Linked DNA regions of Lonchura striata. Each later gene encodes a partner of the first gene's protein in a complex. Links are inferred from orthologs where the notes say so. Each region holds a gene or a part of one and is shown on either strand. Other genes may lie near its edges. The genes, in order: TLR4 and LY96.

Evidence for each region.
Region 2: the proteins of TLR4 (region 1) and LY96 are in contact, whole or in part, in a crystal structure (PDB 4G8A), measured with the Homo sapiens proteins. The link is inferred for Lonchura striata from reciprocal best matches to the Homo sapiens genes TLR4 and LY96. Residues at the interface, in NP_612564.1 of Homo sapiens: Gln39, Met41, Glu42, Asp60, Ser62, Phe63, Asp84, Ser86, Arg87, Thr110, Gly111, Val132, Val134, Glu135, Asn156, His159, Ser183, Ser184, Asp209, Leu212, Arg234, Val259, Glu262, Phe263, Arg264, Asn265, Glu266, Arg289, Ala291, Tyr292; in NP_056179.4 of Homo sapiens: Met40, Tyr42, Ile66, Pro67, Arg68, Arg96, Ser98, Asp99, Asp100, Asp101, Tyr102, Ser103, Phe104, Arg106, Leu108, Lys109, Gly110, Glu111, Thr112, Thr115, Thr116, Ile117.

What each region holds. Positions count from the first base shown.
Region 1 is NC_134624.1:2,202,781-2,213,916, reverse strand, and holds the start of TLR4 (toll-like receptor 4), read left to right. Parts: upstream 1-6,498; 5' UTR 6,499-6,519; coding exon 6,520-6,624; intron 6,625-8,035; coding exon 8,036-8,202; intron 8,203-9,545; coding exon 9,546-11,136.
Region 2 is NC_134603.1:32,169,527-32,180,234, reverse strand, and holds LY96 (lymphocyte antigen 96), read left to right. Parts: upstream 1-5,803; 5' UTR 5,804-5,822; coding exon 5,823-5,916; intron 5,917-6,867; coding exon 6,868-6,957; intron 6,958-7,849; coding exon 7,850-7,978; intron 7,979-8,533; coding exon 8,534-8,586; intron 8,587-9,548; coding exon 9,549-9,650; 3' UTR 9,651-10,128; downstream 10,129-10,708. UniProt on the Homo sapiens protein: Binds bacterial lipopolysaccharide (LPS). Cooperates with TLR4 in the innate immune response to bacterial lipopolysaccharide (LPS), and with TLR2 in the response to cell wall components from Gram-positive and Gram-negative bacteria.

The DNA.
Region 1 (11,136 bases):
GATGCAGCTATATTTATGTTATGTTCCCCCTCCTTTACTTCCCTTGTTGCTGCTTTATTCGTGTCCTGTCACCTTCATGGGTTTACCTCAGTTGCAGCCTCTCCAGAATGCTGCTTCTGCAGCAGAAAGGACCTAGAGTGATGGATTTGCTGCTGTACAAGCACCTTGCTGCAGCCTCTTAGCTGGCTGTTCCTTGGGAAGAGCACCCTTCCTGCCCACCTATTAGAGGGCAAACCCTAAAAGTGGGGCTGGTTTGCTTTGGATCAGGCTGTGTCTCTGACAGCAGCTTCATTTGAGGTGTGGAAACATCAGTCCGTGGGAGGGGAAACTTCTGCTTTTCCTCACATTTCCTTCCTCCCTCCCTCCCCTTCACTGTGGTCAGGCTGTCAGGGTATTTGCTGTGTCCTTTTGTCACTCCTTTTCCTGGTAACTTCCCCTCTGGTATCTCAGCCCTGCTTCCTGACAGCTTTCCATAGCACCCAGCCTTGTGATCTACAAAGGGTTAATGCTCTTCCTATGCTTTCCCTGCTTGTGGCTGCTGGGTTCCTCCTCTGTGGGAACAGAAGTGGTTTTGTCCTGGTTGGTGCAGGCAACTCAAGGACAAGGAAATGCTTAAAAAAATCCCCCCAAAATGTGCAAACTAAGCAGAACTGAGAGAAAAGGAGTGTTTGAATAAATTCACCATCAGGAACACTGCTTCAGGTTTTATACTCTGTGCACAAATAAGTCTTTGCTCTCCAAAAAGCACGGAATAACCACCCAGGTTTTGTAGATTCCAATATACAGCCCTCCAAGTGCAGGCAATCCTGCATCTGGATCTGTCTCGCCCACTCTTTTGGAATTTATTATTATAAATAAACAAATATTTATTTATTTATTGTGGCAGTAATGGAAGTGGGCTCTCAGCACTGCAGACAATTTACATTCTGTGTTCTTCTCCTGGCAAATGCCATAAAAGTGTTGAAGTGTGGGAGCTGATGTCTAAAGCTGAAGTAACCCCAGGGAATGTTTGCATTTTCTCTTCGGGTAATGTGTACACAAGAACTTTGCCACGGTTTACAGGAGCTGGGTCTGCACTTTCTTCTGCAGCCATTGCAACATTTTCCTGTCATCCAGTGTCAGGTCATGGCAGTGAAACCACAACCATGAGGCTCAGGAGTCTTGGCACGGTCAGTGCCCGTGGCAGTGCTCTCAGGATTGACAGAAAGCAGGGCTGCTACACAGCTTTTTGCTCTTATGGTATGGTTGTCCCTCAAAGCAGGGATCTGTAATCTCCCCAGATCATCATTAGAGCTGCCCCTTGTTTCAAGCTTTCCCAGAGTGTCACAGCAGTGCTGCAGGGGCTTGATATTTAATCATGCTTCAGTTGTGGCGCTGAGTCCCCAGATCAACCTTTCCTGTGTCCAGTTTAGAAAGTCTGAGCTCTGCAGTGCTCCGTGCCCTACACACCTTTCATGTTTGATAGTCTGAATAAACCCTTGCCCTACAGTAGACTCATTAAGAGAAGTGGGGGAGAGGAGGTAGAATAACCAGGACAAATCAAAGCCACAGAAATACAAAACATATGTATATCAGGCTATGAGACACCATAATAAAGTTGTAATGGAGGGGGAAAGAAAAATAAAATAAGTCCCATTGTTGATTTAGTAAAAAAGCCAGCACCAGTCTGAGGTGGCCAATCCACCTTTCTCAGGGCTGTGGGAGGAATTTCTACTCCCTCTAAGCACATTTCCATGCCAAGGCACTGTGCCCACCCTCACCTCCATGGTGCCAGTGAATCCCTGGCTCTGGCCAGCCCAGGGGGAACCGTGGTTCATCCCAGACAGAAGGACAAGGTGCTGCTGGGCTGTTTGGTGCCAGCCTGCCTCTCTCCAGGGGTCCAGGGGGCTCCACTGTCACTCACTGCCTGCCCATGAATGCTTGGCAGGCCAGGCTGGATGCCTCCACCATCTGTGTGAAATCCTTCCAGCCATTTAGATTAAACAGTGAAATGTAGGGCTCCTAATGACCTGACATAATCCATATGGAGTAGCTGCCACAGATAGTGACTATCTTGACACTGATTAATCACTTCTTCTAGTAGTGTATTTGTCCCTGGTTACTTGACACAGTTCTTCTCTAATAGCTTTGGAATAGTTCTGGGGTGTTCATATGATCTTGGCTTTGAGAATAGCCCACCTGATGGCACACATTGCCTACTCCAGTGCAGGCTTGGCTGATTTTCATCAAACCAACTTGGACTCTGGCTTTTGGGTTGTTTTTCTGCCCCTGTGTACACCAGTCTCAGTCCTTCTGTGTAATGGGGAACACCTCAGCCATGCTGAACTCTGCTAGGTGCCACCATGAAGAAACTGTGATGCCACCTCCATGCCCTTCCTGGACACTCAGAGGCACCACAAGCAACCTGCATGACAGATCTCCTTGCTCTGGAACTGCAGCTGGAGTCAATCAGGCAGAGAGAGAAGTGATGCTGGGTCTTCTTTGGGTCTGACACCCCAAATTTAATGTGCAGTTTCTCAGCCTGAGTGTTGCTCTTTTTTTCAAAGCTGGGAGATCCAGAAGTAGAGGCAGGAGCTCTTCCAGGCTGATCTTCCATCAAGTGTGAGTTGTGGTTCCCCCATCCCTGGAAGTGGCCAAGGCCAAGCTGGATGGAGCTTAGAGCTTGGAATGAGATGAACTTGAGGGCTCCATCCAATCTAAACCAGTCTGTGATTCCATTATTAGACCCACTTTGATGCTTCAAGTTTTAACTTTCATATTTTTTAGATTCTGCACTTGCCTTAGTGTGTGACTCAGAGCTTCATACAAAGTGTTAGCAAGTTCTCCTCACAGTTCAGTCAGACAGAACAATCCTTTTCCAGCCTGATCACCAAGGACACCTTTGCAGCTTTAGGCTCAAGGGGTACAACAACAGGGACTTGAGGAGATCAGACTGTGAGGATGGGACTGCATAACCTGGAGCTGGAACTGGACAATGAACCCCAATATGGAAATGGACCAAAACTTATAAAAGTGCGACAACTCATGACTGGTTTGCAATCTTGTGTCCATGGTGGGCAGAGCCACAGCCAGGCTCTTGCACTGCCCAAGGTGTATCCTATGAAGGCAGTTTAATAAATCCCTATTATTCCTTTAAGTCTGCCCAGTCTCTATTCCAGGTCAGCCTCTTTAGGCATCAGCTTCACATGGGAAGCATCACAAGTGAGAGTTACAGGCATGGCAGCTCTCTAGGACCTGTCCTGATGCAATCAGTGTCTCAGCTCCCTCCCAGCCTTGGTGCAGGCTCTGTGTGCACCAGCACTGCCTCTGTCCTGTGTCCTGTGCCTGCCAGGTCAGGCAGGGCTTACTGAGCAAGGCAGTGACTCTCCAGGTTCAGGAAGCAATGGAATGTTTGTGGAATGTGCAGCAAAAAGATCTTAAAGATGTTTTCAGACTATTCTTTCTGCCATTTTTCGTTGTAATTTATATAAACTGTTTTTCCCAGCAGAATGGCTGGGAAAATTCAACTTGCTGTTAAATTTGTGCCACGTTTCCTGTCCACTCTGACAACCTTTCAGACCTGGACAGGTGAGTGACTTGCTGAGAATAAGGACTGTCAGGTGAACCCCAAGGCCTGGTAGCTGCCTGCACCCCCTGAGCCTGGATCCGTCCTGCAGAGTGTCTGATTTCAGCCTCATTCACCACAGGTGACTGCAAGGCTGTCTCTGTGATAGTTAGGAAGGGACATGTGGCCAGCCCACCTGAGAGCAGTGCTGGCTCACCTGGTGCATCCTGAGCTTCTCAAGGACTTTTGGAGCCTCTCGTGGTGCTCCCCGAGCTCCACAAGTCGTGTGCTGTGAAAATGCCAGCACCTCAGGAATGCTCCCTCCTCTTTCATCCATCAATCTCTGCCCTCTGATGCACAGCTCATAATCAAATAATTGTTAGAGATGTTTTTTTCACGTAAAATAAGACCTGGTTTTGTTTAACCTTGAAATAGTTTCTGTCATGTTCCTCAGCCTCTGTTTGCAGACAGACTTGGGGAAGTGCTTGAGATGACTCCTGAAGCAAACAGAGCCGCTCTCCAGGGCAAGAGCTGCTCATCTGCACGTGGTACTGGGTTAACTGTGACCTTGAAATCACCCCAGGGACAGACAATCCTGTTTTTATGGCTCTCACCACTTGTCCAAGGGTTTCTGGCTAACTTTGTTTTTCAGCTGGAGTTCACAAATAATTTTCTTTTAAAATAAGTAAGTATAAGTTGTCTTGTCAGTCCAGCTACATTGTGTCTGTCTTATACTCTGTAATACCTTGCTTGAGATCACAGAGGCTGCATATGCACTGTCTGCATTGTGTTATTTATATTATAATAATGTTCAGGAGCACAGAGATGACTCAGGCACGTGTTTTTGGAAACACAGATTCTCTGCAACACCTCCTTGCTGAGAGCTCTTTAATGATCCCAGTAAATTGCCAGAGTAGTGAATCGTGTTTGTCTTTAGATGTTATTCATGTCACTTTAAGGGATTCCAAATCATTCTTTTGGTGTTTGTGAACAATCACTTAGACATTATGGCTTTATCCACGCTGCTGCGTGCCAGCTGAGAAACATGAACTTAACCAGCACTGACTTTCTAAACTGGTGGCTGGGTTTGGTCTGCTAACTTGCATGTTTTCTGCTAGTGCCCCGTCCCTTGCAGTGTCTGTAGGACTTATCCTTGAACAAATTACGATGTGTGCTGTGAAACTGTCCCTTGTGACAGCAGCAGTGCCTCCTTTGAATGCCCTTCAAGCTGCACTTCCCACTTGACCTGTGAGTGTGGCTGTGGGAGGGATTTTGTGATGCTCCCAAACTCTTCAGCATCTTCAGTAAGTCTCCATTGAAATGGTAATTTCTGGAGCATACTTCAGGCTCATCTCAGCTTTAGATAAAAATTAAATGTGGATTGCCTCATTCCACATATTGAATACTAAGGGATGCACTCATTTGTTCTCTCTGCAGACACACGATGCTCTGCCAATTTCCTTAATCCAGGCACAGAAGCAGTCAGCAATTGTTTCCATTCACTTTTGATTCCATCTATAAAAGGAAATACCTGCAATCACCAGAGGCTTTTCAGAGCAGGGATTTTGTAGAACTTGCCCAATTTCAACAAACTTTTTGTCTGCTGGCTTAATGGGCACTATCTGGCTGCACATCAGGGTGTCGGTTTTAGCTCCCATTGTGCTGCCATGTGTTTTTTTATTGCAGAGATCATCAGTTATTTTAGGATTCCCCATCTCTCCTAGGCTCTCTACTACCTGTCAAAAAAGTCTAACCCCCACTTCTGAAATATTTTTAAGTTTTCTTTATAAGTGGATCACTCACTGGGCTGATATCGCATCTTATATTTAATATCAATTTTCACAGACGTTCATGAGTCGTCACACTTTATTCCATCTTCCTCTAGACCAATATTCCACCCTTGTCTCATATTTTTGCCACTTCTGTCTATGTGGTGTTGATAATACCCAGCAACCCTATAGCTGGATCCCCTGTAACATTTCTTAGTTATCTCCACAAAGACAGGAGGAGATACATGAATGCACAACCATTTATCAGACTAAATGAAGGCAGAGAGCTTTATTAGAAGGCTCACAGCTGACTTAAATTAATATTGCCCACAGTGAGGTTTTACAAAGCTTTTTTTTTTCCCCTGAAACAATGGTCTGCATTGGGAATTCAGCATTGAGATGTTCTGTAGGCAGGCATCAAACAGAGATTCAGGCATGAGCAGGGCAGGGAGCAGCTCTAAGTCCAGCTCAGGTGTTTGTGCCTCTCCTTTTTGCTGCCCCAGCAACTTGGCAAGGGTGGGGAGGGGTAGAATTTCTGTGACCACACCTCTGATCCCTCTGTGAATCTCCTTGTGCCTGGCCATATTCCTGCAATAATTGCAATAAAGGCCCAACCAGGTTGGTAAAACCTGGATGTTTAACCACAAGAGCTTGGCCAGAGATAAACCTGTGTTTATCTGGCTTGAGAAAACCTCTGCCAAAGCTGAGCTCTTCTCCAGGGCTTGCAAGGCTGAAGCTGGGAGCATGGCAGGAGTGCAAAGGCAGAGTCACCCTCTCTAACCAGTGCATTTGAATTATGGGATGTGGAGCATGGAACTGGGCTCAGAATTGCACAAAATATTCTGTTGGTTTGTTTTTTTTTTTTTTTGCCAATTTGACCTGAGCTAATCAGAGGCAATCAAGTCAAGTGGCACTGATGAAACCCATATTCCTCTTCAATTTCTAGCCCAAACTATATCCATCATTACTTCTTTTTTCCTTCTTGGCTATTTTTTTTTAACAATTGCAAGAAGAGCAATTCACCCCGAGTGTGTGTAGAAACAAGTCACTGGCCAAGCTTCACTTCCTTCCTCGTTCTCTGCAGCTCTCAGAGATGTGCAGTGAGAAGCAGGAGTGATGAAACACAACTCCTGGCACTGCAGGAGCTTTCTGTCTCCAGGTTTCTCTCTCCATGCTCCTTTCTCCTGCACTCCTGGCCTCCTGAAGATGCCCAGGAGAGGAGCCCTTCCTGTGGGGACACTCCTGGTGCTGCTGCAGCTGGCATTTGTCCCATCCCCACTGGCAGGCTGCCTCCTGGATCCCTGTTTGGAGGTATGTGAGCTCTGAGTGAGCACAAAATCCTTCTGTCTCTCTGGTGCAACTTTTCTCTTTGCTTGGGAGATTTGTGCCTCAAGTCTCTTAGGAAAGCCCAGATTTTTTTTCCCCCCAAGGTTATTATCAAGGTGATTGAAGTAAATTCTAGTCTCGAAAACATCTGAGAACCAGAACCAGCAGCAAGAATTTTTTCTTCTCATTGGCTTTCTGAAACTCTGAGGGTGCTGTGTCAGAATCTGAGCTATTGATGATCCTGAGATTGTAGAAAGTCTCTGTCTGTCAGCCCCGCTGCCAAAGCAGAAGCCATAATTGGTCTGTGCTGGTTTCCAGGTTGTTTATTCTGTTTATCTCTCACATGTTCTGCTGCCCTGCCCAGCTCTGTCCTGCAGGGCAGCGTGTGGGGCTCTGCCCTCAGTGGGATGTTACAAACATTAAATACCAGAAACTCCCTGGGCTGCATTTACAAGAACGTGCCAATATCTGTCACCTACGTTGGACAGTGTGTCCCCAGCCTGAATGAACAAAAAAATGCCAACACCACAGTGAAACATGGAGGGCATGAAGAAGGAGAAGAAGGACAAGGCACACCCAATTTCCTCCATCTTGTCCCCTTTGGACCCCTCATCTAGAATCCTAAAATTTTACTTTTGCACCCATGCCACACTTAATTATTACTTACATCAAACACTCAGAGCTGGTAATTGATCCTGTAAGATTGAAAAGTCTTTTCCATGGCCAGAGATCACAGCCAGTGTCTCTGGGGGCTCTGTCCAGGGGGGTTCCTGACCCCTGCCAGGGTCCCAGACCTGCCAGGGCAGCCAGAGGGAAGCCCTGGATTCCGACAGTGCTGCAGTGCAGTTATTGTAATAGATTATATTTCCCTTGGAAGGGATCCAAACTTGTCTAATTTCTACAAAACACAGATTTTTGCCTGGTTTGTGCAGTAGAGTGATTTCACCAAGTACCTGACAAGGACCAACTGCCTTTTGCAAAGTTTTGCTGACAATTATTTGCTTGCAGAATAACTTTGGTTCAATCTGCCTGGTTATGTGCAGGGGAAGAGGGCTGAGAGCTGTTCCTGGACATGCAGTGCATCCATGAGTGTTTGTCCTGCTGGCTCTCTCAAAGGTTGCTGCTGGTTCATCTGTAACCTCAGGGAATGCTATTCTGTAGTTTTGTCCCAGCTTCAGTCAGCAAGAAATGCAGCTCTTCTTGGAGAATAGGACTGCTTCTATTAGGAATTAGAAAAATGTTTAGGGTGTGTAAGGTTATTTCCTAAAACTCAGGGGAGCTCCTTTAGAACTGCACTATAAAGGGGGTCATTCTGCTCCTGCTCTCCTGACAGTGACATTTTCTGGCATTCCATGAAGAGCAGATGTTGACCATGATGGGATCTGCCTCTTTTCAGATCACCCCTAACACAACTTTCAGATGCACTGGACTGAACATCTCTGGAGTTCCTGATGGAGTCCCAAACACCACCCAGAACCTGGACCTCAGTTTCAGCAATCTGAAATCACTGGGGTCAAATTATTTTGCATCAGTCCCTGAGCTGCAGATTCTGGATCTTTCAAGGTAGTGGGATCTATTACGTGGATACGTAATATAATACACGTAATATACGTGGTAAATTTTTCTTCACCAGCTGGGTTACAATGGTGGCTTATTTTGGGGTCTATTGGTCTTGGCTGTTTATGTTTTTTTCTTGTGACTTTGTCCCTGTGTCTGTCATTTTGCACATCCCCGTGGTGATGTGCAACTTTTAGTCCAGTCACTGAGTGCACACCCTCCTCTCAGAGCTGGGTCTGTCAGTCTGATCTTGTAGGTTGCAATGTGAGAAGGAGGAGGAAGATGTTTCACTTGTCTGTGAACAAGAAAAATGTCAGACTTTTCACTGTTACAAAAACTCTGAAGTGGAACATCTTGGGTGAGCTGTTTTTCTAATCACAGTTTAAAAAAAAAAACCATGAAGGTACATTCATTTTCTAAAAGGCTGTTTTAAAATATCAACATATTCTCTTTTGCCTTCTCCTCACATATCTGGGGGAGGAGATGGGGGAGGCCTATTAGCAAATTTGAATTGATGTATAATTTCCATTGACTTCAGACAACAGTTTCTCCAGGTAAATTGTTTCACTGAGAAATGTCACTCAGCCCCGTCACAGCTCTAGCTCCAAAGTGGCTGAGTGGCAGAGCACGTTTGCTGTGAGGCACTGCCTGGATTATTAAACTAATTCTGCTGGGACTCGCTGCAGAATGGATTTGGGTCTCAACTTCTGGATCTTCCCACATCAAACAAACCTTAGGGGGCCATGCTCATTTTCCCCTCTTCCTTTTCTCTTTCAGAGGCAGCACAGCCGGGCTCTGCTGCCTCTGAGCCATCAGCAGAGATCAGCTGCTGACAGAGCTGTGAGCTCTGGTGCCAGTGGGGCTGCCCAGGTGTGGCTGAGGTGGCAGTCAGAGGGCTGGGGGATGCCAGGGGTGAGGGAATGCTGGCTCTGGTTGGTTCTTCCATCAGTGATTTGTCCTGTCCCCGCTGTCAGGCTGCCTCCTCCATCCCTGTTTGGAGGTATGTGAGCTCCAAGTGAGCACACAGTCACATCATTGTCATCACAGTGTCACTTTGGCCTAAACTGATGGCTAGGATTCTTCTTTCCCGCTGGCTGCACAAATTTTTGATCTTCACCAGGTCTCCAGGTGTCTTGCTTTGAATTTAAGATTGGAGAGGAGAAGGTGAGAGGAGGTCTCCTGCTGGAGGAGCGCTCCCTTTGCATATCCAGGGGTGCTGGCTCTGCCCAGCACAGCAAAGCCAAACCAGCCCCAGTGTGAGGCTGAGCCTGAGGGTGTCACAGCAGCACTCAGTGAACAAGGAAGGGACAGTGTTTCATATATTTATATTTTCTTTTCATTCCCATCAGGTGCCACCTCCATACAATAGAAGATAACTCCTTTATGGACCTCCCTAGACTTTCCACCTTGGTTTTAACTGCCAATTCCTTCCAGCACCTGGGGAAAGCAGCTTTCTATGGCCTAACATCTCTGAAAAAATTGGTTCTGGTGGAAACCAACAGGACCTCTCTGTCTGAGCTGCCTATTGGCCACTTGCATACTCTGCAGGAGCTGAATTTAGGCCACAACAGCATTACTTCATTGAAGCTTCCCAAGTATTTCACCAACATGACCTCCCTCAGGCACCTGAGCTTCTCCTCTAACAAAATCACATCTATCTCCAGAGGAGACCTTGATGCCCTGAGGGGAGGGAACAGGCTCAACCTCACGCTGGTGCTTTCCTTGAACAATATCAAATCCATAGAGCCAGGGGCCTTTGCAGGGATTCACCTCGCCGAGCTGGCGTTCAGGTCTGCTTTTGAGAAATCCACGATGCAAACTGCTCTGCAAGGCCTGGCTGGTTTGCAGGTCAGCAGACTCATAGTTGGGGAGTTCAGGAATATTGAGAGACTGCAGGACTTTGAGGGGAGGCTCTTGGATGGACTGTGCCAGGTACAGATGGAAGAGTTTGTCTTAATCTGCCTCCGGGGGATTGAGGATGACACAGACACTCTCTTCAACTGCGTAGGCAACGTCTCCACTATTCGCCTGGTGGACCTCGGACTGGAGGAGATATCACAGGTTCCTCTGTGGTCTAAAGTGAGACAGCTGGAATGCAAGAAATGCGATTTTGAGGATATGCCTGCCCAGAAGCTGTCACTTTTCAAGGAGCTGAGAGTGCTTCGTATTACTGAGAACAAAAGTCTCAAAACCTTCGAGCAGAAATTTGTGGGTCTCAGTAACCTGGAGGTCATTGATTTGAGTGAGAACAGACTCACCTTCAGCAGCTGCTGTTCCCGTCAGTTCCAAAATTGTCCAAATTTGAAACACTTGAACTTAAGCTTCAATTCTAATATCAGATTGACTGGAGATTTCACTAATGTGAAGAATTTGTTATATTTGGACCTTCAGCACACAACCTTATTTGGTCCTGGCTCCTACCCTGTCTTTCTGTCCCTTCAGAGACTGATTTACCTGGATATTTCCTACACCAAAACCGAAGTGAAATCCCAGTGTACATTTTGTGGCTTGAACTCTTTGCAAGTGCTCAAGATGGCAGGAAACTCCTTTGCAGACAATAAGCTGGCAAACAACTTCAAAAACCTAAGTCACCTCCACACCTTGGATATTTCAAGCTGCAAATTAGAACATGTGGATCAAAGTACTTTTGATGCCCTGTCTGAGCTAAAAGAGCTAAACATCAGCAACAATAAGCTGCTGACTTTTGATCCTGTAGTCTACCAGCCACTGCAAGCCCTCAGAGTCCTGGATTTCAGCAGAAACCAGCTGACTGTTCTGCTGGACCCAGCCAGGGAAATCCTGCCTGATAGCCTGGTCCTGTTGGATATCTCTCAAAACCTCTTTGACTGTTCCTGTGTGTACCTGGACTTTCTGAAATGGGTCAAGGAGAAGCAGGAGCTGCTGCAGAACGAGGAGCTGATGCTGTGCCACACTCCCTCC
Region 2 (10,708 bases), on another chromosome or scaffold:
AGAGAATCAACTGTGGTGTGAGTGTTTCAGTAAACAAATTACTACCAGGTAATTGCCAAAGTCTGTTAGCTCCATGTCTGTTTAACAACCTTATTAATTATGTGAATTACTATTTTTTTCTAGTGTATTTTTCTTAAGTTTCATACACTTGGTGAAAAACCAGTATTAAGTGCAGAAGTATTACTGCCTGCTAACATTTTCATCCCTGGAAGTTGGTGATATTTATTTGGGTGTAGGTAACTTGTATATGATATGGAAGAAACTATGTGATCTAGAGAATGTCCTTGTACATGTGGAGGTTCTGAAGGAAATACTGATGTAGGAGGCCAGTTTTCTGAAATAAGTGATTTAGAAAACTGTTTAATTGAAAGGTAATGCCTACAGTGAAGGCTGACAGCTCCAGCAGCCTTTTCAGGACCAACCAATCACTTGTCCATAGCATCGGGACACATCTTATCCTGGTCCCAGTTTCACTCAAACTGGTATGAAGAGCAGGAATGTATCAATGTGTATCACTAACAGTGTGGCCAGCAGGACCAGGGCAGTGATTGCCCCCACTTCACTCGGCACTGGTGAGGCCACCTCATGTACTGTGTTCAGTTTTGGGCCCCTTAATTCAGGGAGGGTGTTGAGGTGCTGGAGTGTGTCCACAGGAGAGCAATGAAGATGGTGAAGGCTCTAGAAGGTAAGTCCTGACAGGAGCAGCTGAAGGAGCTGGGATTGTTTAGGCTGGAGAAAAGGAGGCTTGAGAGGAGGCTGTAGGCAGATGGAGGATTGCTGATCTCCCAGGCAACCAGCAACAGGATGAGAAGAAATGTCCTCAAGCTATGCCAGGGGAGGTTCAGGTTGGACATCAGGTGGAATTTCTTCATAGAAGGGGTGATTAGAAATTGGAACAGGCTGCCCAGGGAAGTGGTGGAGTCACTGTCCCCGGCGGTGTTTAAGGAAAGGCTGGATATGGCACTCAATGCCCTGGTCTAGTTGCCACTGTGGTGTTTGGTCATAGGTTGGACTCGGTGATTTCAGAGGTCTTTTCCAACCTAGTTAATTCTGTTATTCTGTATGAAATTACTGAAGTTTCCTTCCTAGACACATTCTTTCTATGCCCTTCCAGCCTTAAAAGCTTCCACAAAAGGTCATGGATGACTGGCTTTTTTCTTTTTTCTTTTCCCTTTGAAGAACAGTTAGGATATATGCAAATTTTTCTTTTCAGTCTTTGACTATGTGTTATTTTCTTGCTAGTGACCCTCTCCGTTTCTCAAGTTTTTGGCTTTGTCCACATTATTTTTCATTAGTCCCTATCTGTTCTTAATTATAAAGTACAAAGCTCCTTGTCATACTTTAAAGTTATTTTTTAAATTAAAGTATCTCATAACCCTCATCCTTTTCTTGCAAATGTAAAATTTTTTATGAGAAAATGATCCCTTTTTGATACTTCAAAGAGAAATCTTTAAAGCTCTGAGGTACTTCACACTCTTAACCACACTCTGTAGAATTAAAAGGTAACTAATTTGAATGGAGCAAAGACATCACATTGGCAAAGATTAAGAAAATCTATAAATTTTTGCATGAAACCATGAGGGCTTAATTTAGGTGATGGAAAATTCATGGAAGTTTCTTTGTGCTGTAAAAATTAAGAGCAGACATGTGAATTACTACAACTGCTCAGTATAACTTAATAGGGTGGAAACTTGGTAAACTGCTGTAAGTTGGTTGCTCTGGAGTTCTGTGGCCATACCACAAATTTCTTCATCCCTCATACCATGGATTTCTTCATTCCCCCATGTACAGCATAGCCTGCTTCAGCCTGCATGAGAAACGGGACAAGTGTGCTTAGCTGTGAGTTGGATCCACTATAATAAGATTATCTCAGAGCTACACAGACCTCAGCAAGCAGCTATTTTAAGCAGGGAATAGCAGAGAACAAGAGCAAACAGCTGCAAAACATGTCCAGCTGTCTCCCTTTCTAGAATTCGGGATGGAAAGTGTTGCTGTGGTGTGCATACTGTGAGCCTCAGGTAGGACACCTCCCTTTCTTGTCCCTTCATCCTCTACTTTCTTTTCTTTTCAGCAATTTTAATAGTCTAATGAATACTTCAGAGTACAACTGTAAGATTTAGTCCTAAACTTGGCTTGCAGAGAATAAACCAAGGCTACTGGCAAGAGGCAGGGAGTAATTTCCAACATAATAGTTTGCACAGGAAAACCATACCACCTGGTATGTGTTTGCTACAATTTAATAGTCTCCAGTGGTTTAATGTGATATATTCAAATCAAACCACTAAGGCAAAGTTCATACAGCATTTAACAAAACGTATTCAGTGTAATGCACAGCACTTTTTCTATATTTCAAAAACTCTTTGGTTTCTTACTCAAATGCTACCAATGCACCACTGGATATGTGCCAGTGCCCTGCTCTTTGTTTTGACTCCCATGGTACCCTCGAGCAGTTCATCAGTTGCCTGCAGAGGAAATGAATCCTCTACCTCTTTATTGTATCCTTGGACATGACTTTCACTATAAACAGTGTCAAAAATAGAGTGAGGCAATTTGAGAGGAGTCTACAGTTTTCTATTCTCCATGCTGATAGTTGAGTGTATTTTTATTTTTTGAATGCAGTCTTATGCCTTATATACAGCCCCTTTATGTTATAGTGCCTACAGTATCAACCCTAAACCCAGAATCAGGAGGAATAAATGTCTGCTTCCAGTTGCAAAATTATCTACTTCAAAAATTCACAAATTGTCCTGCAAAGAAAATTATTATTGCCTCTTTCTCTATTTAACAAATGTGGTTAATGTCTTAAAAGAGTTTTCCATTAAAGTGAAATTTTGTTACATGCCAAAAGCTAGAATATAATTGTTAATTCTGTGTGACTAACACTTTGAAATGGAATACCTTCCCCTGTTATTCTGTTATTTATGTTTCTGTGATGAGATATGATGATCATGCATATTATAAATCTTTCCTGAGGAAGATTTTAATGACTTATAAGTGCTTATCTGGTCAGCGTACTCATCTGCAGCCAACAATCCAAATACAAAGTGATTATTTTGAAAGGAAATCAAAAGTAAGTTAAGCCCTTTTTGGATGCATTGAAAAAAAAGATAAAAATATCATGAATTATTTTAAGGATGTTAACTACAAATCAGTGAGGAAACTTGCAATAAGCTTCTATTATCAGCATCTCGATGCAACGAAATTAAAAGTCATAGGTATGAAGTTCTAAATTCCTTAGACTTGAATTTATGTACTGTTAATTGTATATGAGAGCTGGTTCCTACTGAATTTACTTGCAAAGGATTTTGAAATAAATGAAGTATTTCACTGACAAAACCTCAGTGAAGTAACCTTATTGTGTAGCTCTTTCTGCTTCTCCTTGCTTTTTGCCTTCCTTCTGGATTGGAATATATAAGAAAAAGAATATACTAAAGAAAAAGATTTTGTAAAAGTAAAGTGTGTATGACTTTGTAGTCTTCTGCAGTGATCCGCATACTGACTTGAAAGGAGCAGAACAGACTCTTCACACCACTAGTGCACTAGTTTGGGACTTCAGTGATCGTCACAAGACGTCACTTTTATGAATAGCATCGATGTTGGCATGGAACACCACAAGCATCTAAAACAGAGTTTGCTGGAAGTATTTAAAAATAATTTAGATTATTTAGATTTAATGACAGTTTGACCAAACACAGTGGTCAAGGTTGTGGGCTTTATAAATATGGCCATAAAGGATATTTTAGCTGTGATACCAATAGTGCTTATTGTTCCTGTTTTCCCACTTAGTCATCCAGATCCTTTTAAATTGAGCTTTCTTACACTGACTTTTTAAAGCATTGGAATAGCCTTGACTTGTGCAATAAAAGTGCAATAAGGAAGGAGCAGGAGGTTTCTGCATGTGTCTGTCTATCCAAGCCACCAGGGGGGACTCATTCCTCATCTATAACTTCTGCAGCAAGTATCTGGAAAAAAACACCCATTCTTGAACCAGGTCTAGAAAGTCAATTCAGCAGAGAGTTTCTCTTCTTTCATATTAAGAGAGCTTTATGTAAAATCTTTTCAAACTTCAGTGCTCTTTCCACTCTGCCCATGAGTGCATCAGCCACCCAACACATTGGTCAGCAAGGCCAGACCAAGTCTGGCCACAGAGGCACCCACGTTCAGCTGGGAAATCTTGTACATCAGTGGGGTACAGTCAGTGCCACCCCCTGCCCGCTTCAGACTGACCTTGGACTTGTGCTAAACCTGTTGGACTTATAGAAGACTCAGCAGAGAGCCTGGCTTGGCTTCTCACAGATTATCCTCCTTCACACCACTGGGCATGGCTTTGTGGTGGAAAGGAATATTTTTTTGGCTGTATGTGCAAAAGGCAGCTCTTCTTTTGTAGCTGCTTCATTGTCCCTTTGTGATTGTCTTACTGCTCCATTTCTTTTTTCCAACTATTACAGCCCTCCTGATTTATTTCGATTTCACTGCATGTCTTACTATTTTTAAGCAATATTTGTCCATCTTGAACCAGATCTGTGTTATTGCTATGATCACAAAGAGCTTATATGTTTTACAGCATTCTGTTAAACAACAGCAAACATCTGAGTGTGGTGTATGTACTCTGGGGATCTGTCAGGAATGTAATATCATTTTGAATTCCCACTTAAAAGCCAAATACTGAAAATTTCTTAACATTTTGATCTCTACCAGGCCAGTGGGACTCTTCTTGTGGTCTATAGAAGGATTTGGAAATACTTGAGCTAATAGCTTCAGTATTTCCAAATCAATAGCTTTAATAGCTGCATTAATTTTTCAAATTTTTATTTTATTTTGTGAATTATTACATGCTCATTAAATGGTGCTTTCAGGCACCTTTAATTCAATTTTCACCTTCCTTAATTAATCTAGGAACAATCCCTATCTCTGAGCACACTCAGTCATGGTTTTCATGTGCATCATTATTCCTAAATTTCTTTTGTGTTACATGTTCAGACTTCTGAAAAACAATTTCTTAATATTTTGCTACTTTACCTTTATAATATGTAAATTATTACCCTGGCATGCACATAATTTGTGAGAATAAAAACTTTTAGGTGTTGTGATGGGGAATGGAAAGAGTCAGAACAACTGATTGTAATATTTATTGGAATTTTTATTGAGTTTCCTGCTTAGCATGAATCAAACTCAAATACCTCTCTATTTTATGTATTGCTTCTTTTTCTTAAAAAATAAATAGTTTCTAATCTAAGAGAAGTCAGCAGACATATACACAAACCAAGAAGGTAACTTGTGAGAACATTATTTGCTTAATTTCTGTAAGTCATTCTTCCATTGAATTCAGTAAACTTCCATATTTCATTATACTGAGAAAAAATATTTAGTTCTGTTTCCCGTCAGGTAGAGGGGGTTCTGCTCTCTTGAATGAGCTATTAGGCTTAATTTGATCTGTTCCTGTAGTTGGGATTAGCTGAGACTAGCTGCTTACTACTGCTGATGAGTCAACTAAACTTGCTCATTATGTACTTCTGGTAGTCATAATGTCGTTTCACTTCCCCATTTCACACAGTTTTCTCTTTAATTTTTTCACTCTGGGTTTGAACTGCATTGTCTGGGGAAAATGTAACAGCAAAATCAGGAATTCTTTTTCTTAACAAAATTTAGTGTAATGATAACTGACAGTGCTGCAGCAGGATTAACAAAAATTGCAGAAAATTTGATAAATAACAGAACTTTCCCCGAAGACATGTGACTGACGATGACTGTGCTGAATTTTCTTCCTCTTTCTCCCAAATGAAGTTTTATACCATCGAATACTGAGCAAAAAAAGTAAAACTATGTTTGGACTCATTTTGTTCATTTTATTCACCCCCGGAGTCAGTGAATTAATTTGTACATCATCTGATCTTGAAATGTCATATACTTTTTGTGGTAAGTAAAAAAATAGATAATCCTTTTGTTAAATTTGCGGGATAATTACTGTAGTCTGAGGGATTGTAAATTTTCTTTCAAATTTGTTTCCTTGAAGAATACAGAAAAATAAAGAATAAGTATATTTCTGTTATTAATCACCCTGCTAAAGAATTTTACTTCATAGGCATAAATCTTACCACAATGCTGGTTTCAGCAGCTAGGAGAGAGAGAATTTTATTCTCACATGATGTTTTTGTTCAGGAAATATTAGAAAATAATGGATTTAAATTTGTTTCATAAGAACTCTGTTGTATGAATTGTAACTATGGAGTTAACCAGTATGTTACAATTGAAAGCTTGAAGTATGTGGGAGAAAAAGAGAGAATGTCATATTCTGTCAGGCTGTGGTACCAATCAGGTTCTGAGACAGCATGGTGTATTCCTTCTTGCCCTGTCTGTGTCATGGGCTGATATTTTTTGTATTTTAAAAATACAAGGTGGGTCAGTCACAGAGTAAATCTACTCAAAGGTTCATTTACATTACTTGGAAAATATGCTAGTGCATTAAAAATATTTTTTAGCTCTTGTCAGCATGATTAGCATAAGTAGGGATATTTTCAGTAGAAGACCATGCTGGTTTAGTGCTAAAAAAGAGTTTGTATATCTTCAAAAGAGAAATAAAGGCACTTTTGTTTCTGTTTTTGTGTGCAAATTATCATCAGCCAAAAATTGACTTCTCTTTACTTAAAGAAATATGATAAAGGTTTTGCTGTCTGAATATAAAAATAATTAATAATATAATTAAAAAACATATTTAATAATTACCACATATATTGAATAGTTTTATAGCATGTAACTTAAATACATTTTAAAATATGTATATGGTTTTTGTGTGTATAACTGTATATTGGTATTATTTTATGGAGAAGCCTATTCAAACTATCAATGTGAAATGTTTTTTTTCTGTAGATTCTATGGCTCAGGCTTTCATGTTTAATCTGACACCTTGCAGCGTGACCAACGAACATGTCTGGAAGGCTGCTCTTACCTGGATTCCAAGTGAGTCTCTCTTAACTAGACAATTATATTCTGGAAATGCTGAAAATGAAATACAACTGAAAAACTGACACTTCATCTTAAATGCCAAGTGATTTAGGAAATTGGTTTCTGGGGTTAAAAATGGAGTGGCTAAACTATAGTCATGGGCAGAAATGATGATTTGAGAAAATGTGTTTGAGTTTTACTTGGACGCAGACTGTCACTATACATTCAAATCTGTGACAGTTTAGGTGTATGAGCATTTTGGTCTTCTGGCCTGGAGAAGATCCGAATCTTTTAAAGGAGAGAGAGTATTATAAGGCCGTTGAACTATGGCAGGACTTCTGCAGAGAATATGTATGTTCCAGAAGCTGGAAATGGTACTGGATTTTGTGTGCAAACCTAACTGTGATCTTTAAACCTAGCTTTAAGCCAGCAAGCTCAGCTCATGAAATGTTTAGGATCTGGCTGTATCATAAATTTCCCTTTCTGCACTAGGTTTGCTTCCCTAGAAAGATATCTTTGTGATGCATTCATGATAGTTTGTTTGCAACACCTGCTTAAAACTAAGGTCTTCATTTGAGTGTGTGTTTAGATTAGCTGTGGAGGTGAATGAACTCTGGTTTTTTTACTGAAGAAATTAAAACTAACTTTGAAATTTTTCTCTCAAATATTTTTGAAGACTAATTTTTTGTTGTTGTTAAAAACAACAATATCTTTTTTCTTTTTCTCTGGAAGTTGCAGTTTTCAAAATATATGCCTTTTTAGTTTTGGGGTAGTCTTACAAATACACAAGTATTTGTATTTTGCCAAGTATTTTGGCAAAATCTAGGTTTTTTCTAAACAGCATGTCTCCATATATGCTTTTCTCCCCCACCAGTTACCATTTTCTTGCTTGCAATTTTTGAATTAGGAAGTGACATCCACTTTTTGAAGATTGTCTTCAATGTCTGGTACGATGGTGCCAAAGCGCTCTTCTGGAAAGAACTCCTCTGCAGCGGAGCTGACGATGAATACTCAGTGTGTGGAACACTGAAAGGAGGTTGGTGTGAAAATACATGGTGCAATCAACCCATGCAAACAGGTTTTTATCTCTACAATCTACACCTTGCTTGGCAGACCTCAGAGCAGGCAATTCTCCCATTGCAGAATGCCATTGAAGTAAAAAATATCCAAATTCTTTATTTTAACATCCTTGTACTGCGGTTTCCATCTCCATAAATGAGGACTAAAGGCCTGTAAGGAGGTCAAAATACAGTCTGTTTTCCATTCTTTAAAAATCAGTATCAGCTCTCTTCAGTTACCATTCAAGTGAACTACTATTACAAGTTAAATTACTGGAGTTATCACAGTAGGATTTGTCTGGAGGAGATGTTGCAGGAGCACTGTGGTTAATGTCTATTTTCTAATGTGGTTTCAATAAAAAGTCAGAGCTCTGAGAGAAGAACCAGACGGGGGCTTTATCAGTGAAAGAGTAAATGACATTGGCAACTGCTGCTGAGAGATATGCCATATTGCTTTGAAGTGATTTAGGCAGTCTGATTAATGGCTTTATGGTTAAGTAACTCTTTGTATTATAATTATCTCTGTTTTTCAGAAACACTTGCATCAGCATTTGACATTAAAGGCTCAAGAATAGCATTTCCAAAGGTACTTTTCAATGTTTTGTGTAATAGTAAAATCACATACTTACAGGTATATTTTTTCTGAAGAGAGATGTTCACCAAAACTGTAGAAAACAGAAGAGGAAATGTCAGAAAACTTTCATATAATAGAAGTGATGACACTAAAATGGTAGCATCTCTGAAATGCTAAGATGTTCTAAGGTTATTATTCCTCTATCATTCCTCCTTTATTTTATGAAGGAAAAGACCAAAGTAATCAGTTAACATCACCTTAATTATTCCATTTTGTTTAGTAAATTATTCTCTTTCTTTTTACCTGTTTGAGTAAATCCATTCATATTCCTTCTGCCCTTTTCATTCTTTATTTTACATTTTTTTCACATGCTGCTCTCTTACTCCCTGAAACCATTTCAAAGGTTTGAAGAGAGATAACAATATCCAAAAAGTAAAAGTAGTGCTCTACTGTTAAAACAGGGGCAGCACCAGTCCTCAGGTTAAGCCATTCTGTCTAACAACTGCCTCATCAGTTGTCTGAGCTTTTCCAAGACCCTTATCAACCCTATTAATCCCTAAAAAAAGCACTAAGGAGCTTCTACTGGTCCAAAATCTCCACCATCCCCCTTAGCTCATGGACTTCCAACAGTCCAACACCTCTTGTAGCCCCAGAGCTAGTAATGGACAGGAACATCCTCTGCCATGAGCTGTCCTCATATCGATGAAGAGCTCATGGTAGACTTGACATTTCCTGATAGGACTCTGCTAGACCAGGAAATGTCATTCCTCAGTAGTCCAGCCATGAGAAGAAAGCTGAATACAGTTTTATTTGAATGCACTCATATACCTGACTATACCCAAGAAAGCAGTTTTGATGGGAATCTATTTTTTTCAGTTCTAACATACATCACCAGAACCATTCCAAGAGACACTTAGACAAGAGCAGGCAGTATTGTGGACTAATTGTATTTTTTTTTTTCTTGTGTGTTTTAGGGCAATTATAGTATTGTTGTGCAAGGATTCTCTGATGATTCTGAGAATAATATGGTCATATGCTTGAATTTCACCATGATAGTAAAACAAGATCTTTTCTGAGTGCAACAAACTTCTCAAATAATTCCAGAACATGGAGATCACTTCTGTAAGCAACTAGAATCCAAGCTCTGAAATAATATGCAGTCTGAATTTCCTGAAGCAGAATATATCATGTGCTATCTGGGAAGCTTTATAGTCTTACTCATTTGTAGCACAGCCATAATCAGTTGCTCGGCCAACGTGCACCAAATCTCTGGGAATCAGCTATCCTGGTTAAGCCACAGAACTACCCTGACTTGATGTCAGTCTGGACTTGCATTTTAGTGCTGTGCCTTGAGTTACAAAAAAGTTGATCCTTCAGGCTGACATAAAGTAATCAAGAATTTTGAAGTGCAAGAATCAGAAGTTCATCAGTATTCAATTTAAAATAACACAGCAATTGAATTTGGGAATCCTGCTGTGAGGTGGTAAGGGTGTTTTTTGGGTTTGTTTGGGTTATTTTCTTTTCTTGTAACAATAAAACTTGTACAATCAATCAGTTTAAGAGATGGTTTTTATTCTCCTGTTATTTGCTAATGTTTCTTCAGATGTTTCATATTGTTCTGCTCTGTTTACACCAAACTGAAACAGAGGAGTAATTTGTTATGTGGTAGTAGCTGATGTGGATGAAATCCAAAGTGGAACACGTTCCCAGTTACACTAATACAGTACAGCTGAATTTAGCCAGCCAGAGCTGCAACTATAATCCCTTAGAATGTTTTTAGCTCTTGCTCAGAGTCCGAGGAGCAGAGGTTACACAAGCTGTGTCCTTCAGAAGCAGGAGGTTGGTGTCACACAACAGGTTGATCAATTCCTCAGTTATTCCTCAAAGGCATTTCTAAAGTTTTCCTGTAGCTTTTGCCCCTTGGGCAGACAATACTGAGTACCCATCTGCCCCCTCTGTTGCTCCTCTGCACCCAAGATCTTCAGTCAGACTTTGGTGGGGTATGAGATTTAGTCCTTAGGAAAAGTGCTGTCCTGTTTTCATCCTCAGCCCCCAGACAGCAGTGCTGGTGAATTTAGTGAGTTCAGAGACTTTTCCCCATCTAACAGGATGCTATTGAAGCTGCACTTTGTGT